2 linked regions of the Sus scrofa genome follow. The protein of the gene in region 1 purifies or fractionates together with the protein of each later gene. This does not show direct contact. Links are inferred from orthologs where the notes say so. Each region holds a gene or a part of one and is shown on either strand. Other genes may lie near its edges.

Evidence for each region. Proteins that work in one complex are often made in the same cells at the same time.
Region 2: the proteins of ITGB1 (region 1) and CD63 purify together in Homo sapiens (affinity purification with western blotting; 3 studies listed by BioGRID and IntAct, with this or other methods). This does not show direct contact. The link is inferred for Sus scrofa from reciprocal best matches to the Homo sapiens genes ITGB1 and CD63.

What each region holds. Positions count from the first base shown.
Region 1 is NC_010452.4:56,126,450-56,134,015, forward strand, and holds the start of ITGB1 (integrin beta-1), read right to left. Parts: upstream 4,063-7,566; 5' UTR 3,920-4,062; intron 1-3,919.
Region 2 is NC_010447.5:21,171,580-21,179,276, forward strand, and holds CD63 (CD63 antigen), read right to left. Parts: upstream 4,647-7,697; 5' UTR 4,271-4,646; coding exon of another isoform or gene 3,860-4,270; intron 3,792-3,859; coding exon of another isoform or gene 3,485-3,791; coding exon 3,419-3,484; intron 2,439-3,418; coding exon 2,250-2,438; intron 2,083-2,249; coding exon 2,008-2,082; intron 1,906-2,007; coding exon 1,810-1,905; intron 1,699-1,809; coding exon 1,561-1,698; intron 1,092-1,560; coding exon 1,008-1,091; intron 854-1,007; coding exon 788-853; 3' UTR 696-787; downstream 1-695. Other genes in the region: basic proline-rich protein-like, read left to right, coding at 3,483-3,791, 3,860-4,270. UniProt on the Homo sapiens protein: Functions as a cell surface receptor for TIMP1 and plays a role in the activation of cellular signaling cascades. Plays a role in the activation of ITGB1 and integrin signaling, leading to the activation of AKT, FAK/PTK2 and MAP kinases.

The DNA of each region.
Region 1 (7,566 bases):
CGCCAGTGCTCAGGAAACTGGCACTCGGGACACCGTCGGATTAACATGGGATGGACAACAGAGCTCCAGCCTGCCAGAGAGCGAACAGGAACAGATCTGGCTGGCCAGCACTGGCAGGCTTGCTCAAAGCCACGAGCTGACACAGCACCTGCCCTCTGGGGTGAGGGCTGCTCATGGGAGACAGGGGAGCTACACTCTGCAGAGCCAGGTCACAAGACAGCAGGCCTTCGGCTCTCAGGGTAACGGAAAGAGGGAAACCAAGAGACCATTTTCACGGTATAGCTGCAGAAACCAAAGCCGCTTCCAGTGAGGTGAGGTATCCCGACAAACATCACAGTTCAGGTCCCTCAATCCAGACACCTTGACCACATCAAACTGCTTCTCTCGTGATGCCTCTCTCTTCAGCCCAAGCAGACTCATCACAGAGAAAAACTGAGTGACCCAAGTCATTCACTAAAGTTGTCACAGGAAGGAATGAGAAATTCAAACCAACCGAGGAAGGGAAGGGCTTTTCTAGATTCCTTCTCCTCCACCCAGCCCTGGCCGTGAAGCAGCTGAGAAGCAGCGTGAAAAGTCTCACAGACTCAATTCCCAAATCGCAGTCGCCCAGCCAGACGGCTCTGAGCTCTCAATCTGCAGATGCAACACCGCTCCAGCCGAGCTGGCCTGCAGATTCAACACCACCCCTGCGGTGAGGTGGCCTCCTCGGTGCAGGTCGCCTCCCAACCAGAAACCGGGCCACTTCTGTTCCTTCCTCCTCTCACCTCAGACACCAAGCTTACCTGTTCTCCTTCCAAAATTAGTAGTTCCTGTTGCCCAACCCAAGTCATCCTCCATACCAAGGACCTCCAAAGCTTTTTAATCCCTCATTTTTATTATTTAAAAAAATCGAGCATACATATGCCATAAAACATGTATTTATAAATTAAAATACATGTACTTCTACAGCAATATAGAATATTATAAATCATAAAAATTTACCCTAAAATGATGAGATTAAAATATGTTTTAATATATATGTATTATAAACAGTCTATTTTCTTCCCACACTCCAGTGAGTTATTTCATACAGCCCGAGGGTCCAGGAAGCAGCACTCTGGAGACTGCATAATGAGACTAGGCCTATAATTACGTGTGTGTTTATATACGTATGTACTAGGTATATTCAAAGCAGTTTTTCACACATTACATGATGACATGATATACACATGCTTCAGCACCATGCTAGATACAGTTAACCTTGTCTTCTAAAGCCACAAACCAAAAATACAGCTTTAAGGCAGTTGACTTTTATTTTATATATAAAACTTAACTCTGTGTAAGATAATTAGTCTTAAAAAAAGATGAGAAATTCACAAAGTATAGCTTGGCTCCTTTTGCATACATCTTCTGAAAAAGATATACTACATTTTTTCACTCATCTATTGAAATATTCTAAGGCTGGGGTTTATAGGGATTGCACTTCCTTTAGCCTAGATACATACTCTTAATGTATGCAGTTTTCTACAGCTATAGATGCTGCTATCATTTCAGGTTCTAAAGACTAATATACTCTTCCCTACTCTCACGCCTGTCGGCGCATCCTCCCTACCCCAATACCCCCACCTGTGCAACAATATAAAAGGACAAAAACCCCACAACACATCACAGTCAGAGTAGACCTGCTAATACAACAAGACATTTACCTACGTGCACAATATGATCTTCTAGGAATCTACTCACAACCAGACAGATCCTACCTCTCCATCCAGAGTGGGGCAATCAGTCCCTATGAATCCTCTCAGATAACTAATTCAATTTCTTACACATTCAGAAATGTCCATTCTCAGAACTCAAAAGTTCTGAAACTTTTACCAGAGAGATGTGTCCTCTCATCATTCCAGCAGAGAACAAACCAGTGTCCTTGTGAAATAATTAAAAACATATATTTCCTTCAGATAGAATATTACCCCTTGATGATAGAAGCCACAATTTGGCAAGAAACCAAACAATAAAGCTACTAAGTGGCCATCATTCCATGAAAACTAGCACCACCTTAAACTGATTTTCACTATTTACAGCCCCAGAGTCCCTCCAGGAGTTAGGAATTCATCCACCCCATTAAAGAAATACATGTGATGCTAATTTGGGGCAGCTTTTAATTATACCGACCAGAAAACTGAGGAAAAAGCCACCTGAATCCAGTGATTTTCAGTATTGCTGATTCGATTCTTTTCACATGCAGGATGTTGACGGGATTATAAAACAATCTTAATATAGAGTATTTTTTAACATTCTTCTAAAAGGAATCAACATTACAAAAGCTTAAATGTTTAGGTCTGTGACCTCAACACAGATGACTTGATTTGGAGTTTGTTTTCTATTTACAGAAGTAAAGTATTAACCACATCCCCTATCTTTTAAACTAGCATTCTAACATCTTCCATTTTATACTGAATTTTAGGGTGAGTAAAATGTCTTGTCTCCTCAGACATCTATAACCAGAACACTGATTTGTTTCACGTGTTTTCTATTTATTAATCCTCTTCACTCATTTATTATTAAACAAGGGACTAAAATTATTTTCAAATATGAACATTACAGTAGGACTCTTAAATAAGCCCTGACCCTCCCTATGGCCTTGATATTCACAGACTTAGAATAGGTAACTTGCAACTAAAATCCCTTAATCATTTCTCAAGTGGTCTATTTATGCAACCTGTTGGAAAGGCTGCATGCAGTTGAAGAAAGATGCCTCATCAAAACATTTAGCATTGGTTATTTTTGTACCACCAAAACAATAAAAAATAACATTCCAGTAACTCTACTCCCCTAAATATTTATGTGGAACGCAGACTCCAAAACGCCTTACTAATGATGCTATCAACTACAGGCATACTTTAAAAAAAAAAAAAAACAAGAAGGAACGAAAAGGAGTTGATATTTATTGAGCATCTACTCTAAGCTAAGTGTTTTCCATTTTCCATTAGCTTTTCACTACACGGTACTTATGCAAGGTTACTTGTGGTTCAAACAACGTCTGCTAGACCCCATGGGTTCTCCTCACTACAGCTGGATGATCACCCAGGCTCCTGGTGTGTCGGTTTCAATTGGAAAACAGGGATAAAAACAGCATATACCTGGTCGGCTCAGATCCAGGGTTAAACGAGAAAATACAGGTGAAGTGTGTAGAGCTAAGCATGGCCCTCACTTATGCCGTTATTATAACAATTACGTTTTCTTATTAGTGTCGGTATTGCTCCCATTTTACAGCAGAGGAAATGGAACCTTAAAGAGTCTAATTTACTAGGGACCAAACCAACCAGCGCTAGATTTTGATCCAAAACACACATCCGATAAAACAAGAATTACTTGGGCATTAAATACTGGCATTCTTAAAAATACGACTTGTTATGAAGCCTAAGCAACCGCACGAATCAGGCAGCGGCTGGGGTTAGCCCTTCGCACCGCCGCCCACAACCAGCCTCGGGGGGAAAGGGGCCCACAGGACGCCCGACCCCGCGCCCCTTCTCCGAGCAACGCCGGAGAGCTGGAGCCGAGGCGGAGCTGTCCCCGCGCGGAGGCCCGGCACCCGCGCGACCCGCCGCGTAAGGCGGCGGGGCCGAGGCCGCTCCCAGGACGCCGGCCCGCGAAGGCCTGTCGGCGCCCAGCCGGCGGGGTGGCGCCCACAGCGGGTGTCCGAGCGGCGGATCCTGGCCCCGGGCCTCCGCAAGCGCGGCCTCCCGCGGACAGCGTCCTGGGCCGGCCCGCACCCTCCACCTCCCCCGGCCGGACAGTCGGAGAGCGAAGCCGGGAGCGGGCGCGGCCCGACTTCCTCCCCCGCCCGACGGCTGGAATCCGCCCCCAGGCCGCGGCCCCCACGCGCGCCCCGGGGCCCCGGGCCGGCAGCGCACCCAGCCCGCCGCCCGCCCGCGCCCACCTTCTCCCGCGGCGCCCGGCCCGCGCGGTCGGCTCCACCAGCGCTCCGCGACTCCCGCTCGGCCTGTCCGAGGGCTGGCGTGGCCTCCCCGGCTGCGGCGCGGGCGCGGCGGCGGCAGCTCCTCCTCCTTCGCGGGCGGGAGGAGGAGACTCGGCGACGCGGGGCCGCCTCCTGGCAGGAAACGACCCCCGCGGCACCGCCTCCTCCGCGCGGCAATCCAGCTCCTCAGGCCGCCGCCGCCGCCCTCTCCCTCCGGAAGCGCATTCCTGCCGGGCGGCGTCAGCCGCGCCCGCGCGGCGGGGGTGGGGGAGGGACGCGGGGTGGGAGGTGGAGGAGGGGCGGGGAGGGCGGCCGCTGGGACAAAGGAGCGGGCCTGCCGGGCGCCGGTGGTGGGGGTCTCTGCCGCAGCGTTCGCCGTGCCTCAGTTTCCTTAGCTGCCCAGGGAGGAAGGGTCTGCGCCGCCCAGCGCGCCTTAATCTCCTCCCGTGAGAAGTTCTGGAGCCTTCTTCCTGCCTTGTCTTAGGTGCTGCTTTCCTAAGGCCGCACGTCTGTCCTGCCCGGGACTGCCTGGTTTTGAACCTTGGAAGCCTTGCCTCCAGGGAGCCGCCGGAGACTCCCGCAAATCAAGACACTTAATCACGCACCTTGCAGGGCTTCCTGGGGCCCAAGACGTTTTCCTTTTGGAAGGGAAGGAGCTAAAGCCAGTATTTTTCTGGCGTGAGGATTTGCCTGACTTACGTCTTTGAGAAAGGGGGAGACTTAGGGAGGAGATGGGGACCCAGAAAGAGAAAAGTTTTAGAGAAAAAGTAAATTGGAGAGCAGCTTTTGTTAGGTTAATCTGGACGTCCGTTTATGGGGAACGCGGATGAGAAGGAAGTTTCCTCCTTGATACGGTTTCCGTTTATCCTCAGTTTTTTTAGTAGGTGGGCTGGGGGGCTGCAGAAGAAGGGACGTTTAAAACACGAGAAGAGAAACATTTCATTATGAGCAAGGCTGGGCACTTCTTAATCAGAGGAATGAAACCTGTGCCAACCGGCATCATACTGAAACCCAGTCACTTTGACTATGCTGCTGGCAGGCTGCCATCCTGTTAGCAGAAAATGTGCTTCGCCACGTGGTGAGCTGGAGCACCCTGTTGGGAATAGAACTCGAATTATGAGATTTGTGAAATGGAGAAGTAGTGTTTCATTTGGGGGAGATTAGAAGCCGCGATGCCCATTTAGCTGCCAACCTTAAAAGAAGCTCACACAATCCCATCTATGGAAACTTTGTTCATTGCTTACCAGCAAAATCAAATCTGTTGGTTAGGTAATCTCTGGGAACCTCTAAAGAAATGGGAATGATTTTTCCCGTTTAATAGATGACCAAAGTTAACGGACTAAATCATGTTTCCCTATTTGTGTAATCTGAAAGAGGATACAAATGGACTTGGTTTCAAAACAAACCAGACTCAGAAAATAATCCTATAGTTAAGGGTGGGGGAAGGGATAAATTAGGAGTTGGGGATTAATATGTACATACTACTATATACAAAACAGATGAACAACAATTTTCCTACTTATAGCACAGGGAGCTATATTCAATAACTTGTAGTAACCTACCTATAACGGAAAAGAATCCAAGAAAGAACATATATTTAACATGTAACATAACTGAATCACTTCATTGTGCCCCTGAGAACTAACACAACATCGTAAATCAACTATACTTCAATTTAAAAAATCAATGTTTCTATATCAATAACCCAATGATGCAGCTACCACCAGAATTCAACATTCTTTTTTTTTTTTTTTTCCTTCCCATTTATTTATTTATTTATTTATTTTGTCTTTTTGCCATTTCTTGGGCCACTCCCACGGCATATGGAGGTTCCCAGGCTAGGGGTCGAATTGGAGCTGTAGCCACTGGCCTACGCCAGAGCCACAGCAACGCGGGATCCGAGCCGCATCTGCGACCTGCACCACAGCTCACGGCAACGCCGGATCATTAACCCACTGAGAGAGGCCAGGGATCGAACCCGCAACCTCATGGTTCCTAGTCGGATTCGTTAACCACTGTGCCACGATGGGAACTCCAGAATTCAACATTCTTGAATTTAAAGGTACCAGTTATACCACTGTTTAAAATTAATCAGAACTGGACTAGTCTCAGCACAGGTTGTAGTTCAAAGGTAAAGTAATTTATCCATGCCTGATTTGCACTATATGTCCCAGAATTTTCCTCCCTGTGTGATTTTCCACAAGAATACTATGAGGTTCACATCTGCAAAACACTAAACTAATTGAATTAGCTCAAGGGCAGTTTAATCAACTTTTTAATCCCAGTATCAAACACTGTTGCAGATCACATAATAGGGGCCCAGTATTTGATAAATGAATAAATGGGTCTTTTTGCTCCCCTGAAATCACACTAGAACTTTTGGCTAAAGTGTGAGGAGCAATTTATGTACAGAAGTCATGAGCTTTGAGGAAATGAGAAATTAGAAGAAATACTCTCTAAGAAATATGTGATTGGTCACGGGTATGACTCCATTTGTGATTTCATATAAATATTAATCAGTAGGCAGTTAGCTAACTATAAAATTTATGAACATTGCAGACAAAGGTTGGTCAGTCTTACCATGTTCAACAGAAATCCTGGTAAGTAGAACTAGTGTAAGTCACGCTGCTAAACCATGTCATTATAGCACATCTATTAGATCTTGATTTAAGATAAATCATATTTTACCTATACTCTCTCCCTGTTATTATAAATTGTCCTCTGCCATGTCATTATGTCAAATAATTAAAAGTTGACTTTCCTTTAGTTTTGGCATCTTAGTACTACTTGCTGTTCAAAGTATATCTTTATTCACCTACTGTTCTCCAAAATAGTTTCAAAGCTGCTCACCAGCAGACTTTATTGGAGGCCCAAGTTCATTTCAGTGTTTGACCCCCATTTCTATTTAAAATTAAAGGCTAGGCTTATGTAAATGAAAGGAACCACAAATATTTAATCGAGTACAAAAGAGGCTAAAGGCCTCTCTAGAAACCTGATTATCTCTTTTGGACAATGGAATCACTGTTTGATGACTAACCTTTAGATCTAGCAGATTGTATTTAATCACGTGATTATGGAATACAGTTTTGAGAGTGGGAGTGAGCTGATGTTAGCTTAGGAGTGGATGGCTGTCTTTCTCTCGTAGTTTGAACACTTTGGGGACTAAGCCTGTCAAGGATTACCCTGTCCAGTAAGCAACAAATCATGCCAGGATAACTTGAAGCCGACTCAATCTTTTTTTTTTTTTTTTTTTTTTTTTTTTTTTGTCTTTTTGCTATTTCTTGGGCCACTCCCGTGGCATATGGAGGTTCCCAGGCTAGGGGTCGAATCGGAGCTGTAGCCACCAGCCCACACCAGAGCCACAGCAAGAGGGGATCCGAGCCGCGTCTGCAACCTACACCACAGCTCACGGCAACGCCGGATCCTTAACCCACTGAGCAAGGGCAGGGATCGAACCCGCAACCTCATAGTTCCTAGTCGGATTCGTTAACCACTGCGCCACGACGGGAACTCCAATCTTTTGAGAGTGGAAACGACTCTAAAGAGTGTTAACATTTTACAGGAGAATATTTTAGTACACATTCATTTATAAATGATTTTCCAAGTGC
Region 2 (7,697 bases), on another chromosome or scaffold:
CAACTAGCACCCACTGGGGGGCGCAAGAGGACTGTCTCGCGTCTGTGATCTTTGAAGCTGCAACTGGAGGGATGACCACCAGAGGGCACTGTTGGATGTTTATTTTCTACGTGGAGTAAGATGCAAATTCAGCATTTGAAGTGGGAATGGGTCAGGGCCAAGATGGATGGTTTCCATGGGGCTAAAAAAGGCGATGCTTTCTTAAATTCTTCCATTACCTAATGTACATCAAGAAGGATAGACGCTGTCCACACAGGTTTAAAAGCAACTTGTCACCACCCTGAGAAGAGCCAGATGCCCTCGAGGGTGGGTGAGGCAGGGAGCTGCTGGGCTCAGAGGTGTGCAGAGGCCCAGGGAGATGTCCACAGGTGGGCGTGGGCTGGCCTCTCCCAGGTAGGACCTTTGTGGGGAATCCCTTTGACTTAGGAGATAGCTTCAAGAATCCTTTAGCACTGAGCCTGGCAGCACTAGACTAGGAGACAGGGAGGGCAGCGGACTTTAGCCCCCTCGGGATCCCCACTTGCACTGGCAGCCCCACCAACACTTTCAGCAAAGTCCTCCTTTCCCAACACCCCCAAGAGGGGCCTGACTTTCCCAAAGGTGCTAACAGAACAAGGTCCCAAAGGACAGGAACACAGATCAGGAGAGGGAAGGAATAAGGTATCACTCTTGAAGACAAACAGACACGCTCTCTCTTTTCGGTCTGAAAAAATAATCCGTTTAATTGAAAAACCTGGAGTATACTAGCCCACTCTCCTGGATGAGGGGGCTGAAGAGACCAGACCCCCTACATCACCTCGTAGCCACTTCGGATGCTCTTCACAAGGCAGCAAGCAAAGACAATACCCAGGACCTAGAAGGAAAGTTAGAGGTGGGGGTGAAGAGGAGCCAGAGAGGCGAGGGACCCCAGACCCAGCCCAGAGACCCCAGACACAACCAGACCAGTACCTCCAGCTCTGCATCCTCCCACTGCCCCATGTTCCCAGATACCCACGGGCACCTCTCACCTCCACAAAGGCAATGCCCAGGGCTGCTGCAGCTGCCACCAGCACATTGCTCCTCAGCCAGCTCCCAATCTTTTCCACACAGCCCTGAAGAAGGGGCAAGCACACAAGACAAGAACCCTATCAGAAACTTCCCTAACAAGGAGATGCTGCTGAATAGCATTGAGAACTATGTCTAGATACTCATGTTGCAACAGAAGAAAGAGTGGGGGAAAAACTGTAATTGCAATGTATACATGTAAGGATAACCTGACCCCCTTGCTGTACAGTGGGAAAATAAAAAAAATAAATAAATAAATAAATAAAGAGCTAGCACAAAAGACAGTAGGTAAAAGATTAAAAAAAAAAAGAAAAAGAAACTTCCCTAGACCGGCTATCTCTTCCCCACCCTCTGTACCTTTCACCCCACCCCTGGCACTGCCAGGTTCCCTCCCCATCCCTGACCCTCAATCCCCAAGGGCCCCGACCCTCTCCACCTCCAGCCCTGGTCCCTCTGGCCCCCCTCAAACATATGCCAGGTTCCCCACGTCCACTACTATCTCAGCCTCCTCCCTACCTCATTATGAATCTCCTTCACGTTGAAATTAACTCCACAGTGCTGAGTGACATTGACACAGCAGGAGTCCGGGACTCGCTTGGGTGACAGCAGGATCTTCTCCCAGTCTGTGTAGTTAGCTGCCCCGCAGCACTTAAACTAGGGGAGAGGAAAGACACAGGGAAAAGGCTGCTAAGTGAGCCCCCATCTTCACCATGGAGATGAGCACCTTCTTACCCCATTCCTCCTGCTCCCAGCAACCCCACTCACATCTTCCTGCATCCTGTCCAGGATCAATGCTGTGTGGTTGTTTTTTGGATAATTCTGCATCTGCTGCTGGAAGTCCTTATTAAATTCTGCCTTCACCTGGGAGTAGAGAGGAGCTGTGTTGAAGCCAGAATTCGGGGCACCTGGGTCCCAGAGTAGCCGGGCCTCTGAGACGAGGCCCTCCCCTTAGTCCCTGCTTACCTTGTCTCTAAACACATAGCCAGCAATGGCGGCTGCCACCTCCACCAGCATGATAAGGGACAGGAAGATGGCAAACTGCGGGCGCAAAGGACGAGAGTCAGGTTTGGCGTCTGGGCAAGGGGGGCCTGCCATTCTCAGGAACATTCACAGAAGTTTCCTTCACCCACCCACCCTCCCAAGCCCTCTCCAGAGGAACGCCCTTCCAGGAGGGCCAGGCCCCGTGCTGGCCCACCGCCACTCACTGTGACCATAAGACAGTAGTTCTCCTTGCAGGTCCCACAGCAGCCCACAAAGGCCACCAGGAAGAGGAAGGCACCCACTGCGATGATGACCACAGGCAACAGGGAGCCAGGGGTGGCCCCCTGGGTAATGGTCTGATTTAGCACGAGCTGGACCCAGATCCCCACGGCGATCAGTCCCACGGCACAGGCCTGCGGGGAGGACAGAGCAGGACTGAGAGGCCGCACAACCCATCAGCCCTCCAAGGTGGAGGGCGCGATGGACCCGGGACACAGACCAGAACCCCACTCCAGAGACGGATTCTCACACCTCCAGGGGACCTAACTGTGGGGGAGAAGGGTGAGCCATCCTTGCCAGGGAGGGCTGGGAAACTGTTCAAGGCTCTCAGAGAAGGCAGTCAGAAGGAACCACACCTTCCACAACCCGCTCCTCACCAAGGCAAAAAGAGAAGTTCCCAGAAAGCCTTGACCCCAGGGCACAAATTCCCAACAAAGAGAAGTGCTTCCTGTGAGCCTCTTCCTATGGGCCTCCAGGGCTCCCAGAACTGCCCTCTCACTGTCCTCCAGTGCCCACCACATCCTCACCAGCTGTGACTAGGGTTCCTGGGGCCCACTAGGGTTCCTCAGGACTCGGGTTCCTCAGGCCCACTAGGCCAGGGAGGAGAAGGGAGGAGGAAGCGGGGTAAGGGTGACCTGCCCCTCCCTGGACAAACAATCCTCTCTCAAGCCGGGGGCCCAGGGCAGGAGCCATCTAGGTGGACAGAGCCCTCTCCAACCCCCAAGCAGGAAGGAGGGGGTATGAGGGAATGGAGAGGAAGGGGGGGTGGAGGGTGCGGAGGGGCACCCCGTGGTGATAGCATCAAGCCGTTGGCGGGTTGCCCCACTGCCCCATATCACAAGAGGTTGGGTCACCAGACAGGAAAGGCAAGGAGGGATTACGGGGAGGGTGCTAGGCACCCAGGCCGGCCATTCTCGATCCCAAACAGTCTCAAAGATCCCTGCTTTGAGCTGGAGGAGGCGATGGCCGCGCTGCCCTCGGCCGTTAGCCGGGAGTTCCTTCCACATCTGCTCTCCAGCTGCCTTCCTTCTTGACCCCTCAGCCGTCAGCACTCCCGAGCCAGTTCTCCCCGCACCCTGCCAGCGCGCCCCCATCGTCCCCGCTCCCCACTCACGCAAAAGGCCAGCAGAAGAACGTAGAGCAAGAACTTGACACATCTCATTCCTCCTTCCACCGCCATGGCTGCCTGGCCTGGGGCACAGGGGAGGGCAGGGGGATTAGAACCGGTCGAAGGGGTATCCGGGCTTCGGAGCGCCCTGCCGGCCCTCGAGACCTCCCCTGCGCGGCCCCCATTCCCGGCCCCTCCCACCCGGAAACCCGCGGTCAGATCCACGTCTCCCAGCCCCCTCTTCTCCCTGCAGGAGAGGGGTGGGGGCGCCCGTCGCCCAGCCCGGACCCCGCCCCGCCGCGTCCCTGGCCCCGGACTGATCCAAGGGCGCCCGCTGGGGCCAGGGCTGGACGCCCACCCTGGGCCCGCCAGCCCCCAGGTGTTAAACACCCCCTCCCCACCCAACCAGCCCCCCAAAATTGTCCTCAGCTCTAGCCCGATCCCCAGGCCACTTTCCCCTGGGCTCTGACCACCGCCAAAAATAAGTGCGTCCCGCGCTCCGCATCCCACCCCTCCCGGGCCTCCGGAACTTTCCAAAGTTGCAAAGTTGCGAGGGCCTCGGGAGCAGCGGGGGAGCGAAGCCGATCTTCAGAGGCCCGGAGCGAGGCCCTGAGCGGGGAGCGGCTGGCGATTCCCCCCAACACCCCGACGCCAGAGCCGGAGCGGGCTCCGCGGCCTCACCTGGGCTCCCCGAGGCTGTGCGCTGCACTCCCGCCGCGGCTCAGGGGCTCTCTAGCTGCGCCCCCCGGCTCCGGCCCCGCCCGGCGCGCGGCCCCGCCCCGGCTCCATCCGCAGCCCCCTCCCCCGCCGAGTAGCCGCCAGCCTCCCTCATGTGACGCGAGAACAGCTGCGGCCTGAGTCACCCGGCCTGCAGGAGGAAGGCCGAGACCCCGGCCGGGTCAAGGCCACGTGGCCCCTGCCTGGAAGACGGCGCCCACCCCCCGCAAAGGGAGGGCACCAAGGGCAAGACCCCGGGGTGCCTGGGTTCTCCTGGCTTCCCCAGCCCCGTGCCAACTCGGGGTAGGAGAGGGGGACCAGGCGCCGCCTGCTTTTCTTTGGCTCAGGCAAACGGGGGAGACGTGTGAGAGCTAAAGGAGGGATGAGCGGCCCAGAGGAACCCTCTGTGCACCCAGCCCGGGCGGCGGAGCTGAGGCGAGGGGACAAGATGGTCTTCAAGAGGCCTCCTCATCCTCCACCCAGAGCCCACTCCCTTCCTCTCGCTCCAACTCTGTTCCAGCCCCTCACCCCTTCCCCGAGTCAGTAGAGGGCGCTGTTGGGTCCCTGGGATAGGGTGGGTCGCGAATAAACACTTTTAGAAAGTCCCTGGCTTCACATCCTGGGGGTCCCCCACCATTCTAGAAGGGGTGTTCCTTCTCTCCGCTCCCATTGTTAGTCCATTCTCCATTTTGTAGGATTCCGGAGGAGTGAGCGGAGAAATAGAGGAAGCCTTTCCCAGGACATCCCACCCCGTCAGTCATGATGCGTCATGAATGAGGTCCCTCCCTCCACTCCCGGATCAGCCTGTTACCCGGGAGGCGTGCCGAGGACACTTAGGCGAGCACAGCACGTATTCCCTGCATTTTCCTCGCCCGTCCTGGACAGCCCAGGGGCAAAGCCTGGAGAGGACTGGAAGGTGAGGGGGGGGTGGGCTCCAGAAGAAACTGTGTGAACGGGGCAAGGACGGAACCAGCCACCACACCGCTGCCCGCCCAGCCTGAACCCACCCCTTGCGTTTTTCTGGTCCTGCCTGAAGAACCATTTCCTGAGCTGTGGTGTGTGTACACAAAGAAGGAAGGAAACTTTAAGAGCAAAAGGAAGGCGCACTGGGCTGGGCTGGGCTGAGAACCAGTTTCCAGGATCACTATCTTCAAGCGAAACACACCAAGCCCCTTCTGGACATTGCTCCCCAGTTATCACCTGCAGGCAGGCTGGGGAGGAGGAGCCAAGACTCCGAAGAAAGGAGTATTCCTCTGTTTCTGCCAGGCATGTGCTGGGCACAGGGCCAGCGAGGTGAGGAAGTTGATGGCCCTGTCCTCTGCCAGCAGGCAGAACCAAGCCCACACTGTGAATAGACGCAGAAACCCCTGGTGGCAGCTGGACTAGCTCAGAGGGAGGGGCAGGAGGTGCCGATGCCCCAGAGGGAAAAAGAAAAAGATTTCACAGAGGTGGGTGGTGCTCTCCCAGGGGAGCTTGGCGAATAAAAGGGCAAGCATCAGTTCCAGTGCCAAGGAAAGGGCCAGGTGTAAAAGAGGAGTCGTTTTGTTTATTTATTTATTTATTTTTAATTTTTGTCTTTTCAGGCATACGGAAGGTCCCAGGCTAGGGGTTGAGTCAGAGACAACCACAGCAACGCCAGATCCGAGCGGTGTCTGCAACCTACACCACAGCTCACGGCAAGGCCAGATCCTTCACCCACTGAGCCGAGCGAGGACTGGGATTGAACCGCATCCTCATAACTAGTTGGGTTCATTACTGCTGGACCACAATGGGAACTTCCAAAAAAGGAGTAGTTTTAAAAGTCCATGGCAGGGAGTTCCCACTGTGGCTCAGTGGGTTAACAAACCCAACTAGTAACCATGAGAATGTGGGTTTGATCCCTGGCATTGCTCGGTGGGTTAAGGAGCCGGCGTGGCCTTGAGTTGTGCGAATGTAGCCCTAAAAAGCAAAAACACAAACTCTTTTTTAATTTAAAAATAAAGTCCATGGCAGATTGGGATTGGCCAGCTGCCTCACAGGGCTGGGGAAGGATGTGGTGACAGATGGACGGGAGGGAAGCTGGTCTGAAGTCAAATTGAGAAACTTTAGGAGTTAGCATCGTCGTGGCACAGCGGAAATGAATCTGACTAGGAAACATAATGTTGAAGTTTCAATCCCTGGCCTCGCTCAGTGGGTTAAGGATCTGACGTTGCAGTGAGCTGTGGTGTAGGTTGCTTACGAGGCTCAGATCTGCTGTGGCTGTGGCGTAGGCCGGTGACCCCTAGCCCGGGAACCTCCGTATGCAATGGGTGCGGCCCTAAAAACCAAAAAAAAAAAAAGATTGAGAAACATTAAATACCTACTCACCAAGTATAATGCTTGCTCTTTGATTACATCTTTGCCTGAACAACCATGAAAGACATTTTGGGAACAGCTGGGCAAATTTAAATATTGACTGAGAATTAGACCTGAGAAAATAATTTTCTTAGGTATGATGACAGTATGATTATATAGGAAAATTCCTCTTTTTTTTTTTTGTCTATTTGCCTTTTCTAGGGCCGCTCCTGCGGCATATGGAGGTTCCCAGGCTAGGGTCTAATCAGAGCTGTAGCCGCTGGCCTACGCCAGAGCCACAGCAACGCAGGATCCGAGTCACATTTGCAACCTACACCACAGCTCACGGCAACACTAGATCCTCAACCTGCTGAGCAAGGCCAGAGATCGAACCCGCAAACTCATGGTTCCTAGTCGGACTCACCAACCACTGAGCCACGATGGGAACTCCTCCACTATTTTTTTTAATATGCATATGAAAATACTTAAGGATGGAATGTCATATTTGTAATTTACTTTGCAATACTTCACAAAACAGTAGATGAAGCACAAAGAAGACAGTCTGGGTGACAGGACTATTGAGAACTTAGGTGGCTGGGTTGGGTGTGTTCTAGGACAAAGGGGACCCGTGGAAATTAATTGACAAGGTGAACTGCCTTAGCATGGGGCCTACCTTGGACGAGGAGGAATGAATGCCTGGAGGGAAGCTGGGACATCACTGCCATGCCCCAGGGGAGAGCTAATTAAGACCAGAGCCACGGAAAGGAGGGGAAATCCTTGGAAAGGACTTTCAGAGGGAAAAAGCAAAGGACAGAGTGACTGGTGTTCCCTTATGGCACAGCAGGTTAAGGATCTGTCTTTGCCACTGCTGTGGTGTGGGTTCGATCCCTGGCCCAGGAACATCCACATGCCACTGGAATGACAAAAAAATAAAGGGGGGATGGCAGTGGGGCGAGGAAATGGAAAGAGTCTGAGATGACTCAGAGTTTCCAAACCTGGGTGCCCAGGGGAAAGATGGAGATGTCCCACCTGGAATTGGAGATGTGAAACTCAGGAGAGAGGAGTAGTCAAATTAGAGATAAAAAGTGATTTCTGATCCACAGGCGAGTGTTGCTGAAATGTCGGCTGCCTCTACACCGATGCCCAATAGAAACATGGAGACACAGAGTTGGAGGAAACAGAAAAGGTAGCTTTAGGAGTTCCCGTCGTGGCTCAGGGGTTAACGAATCTGACTAGCATCCATGAGGACACAGGT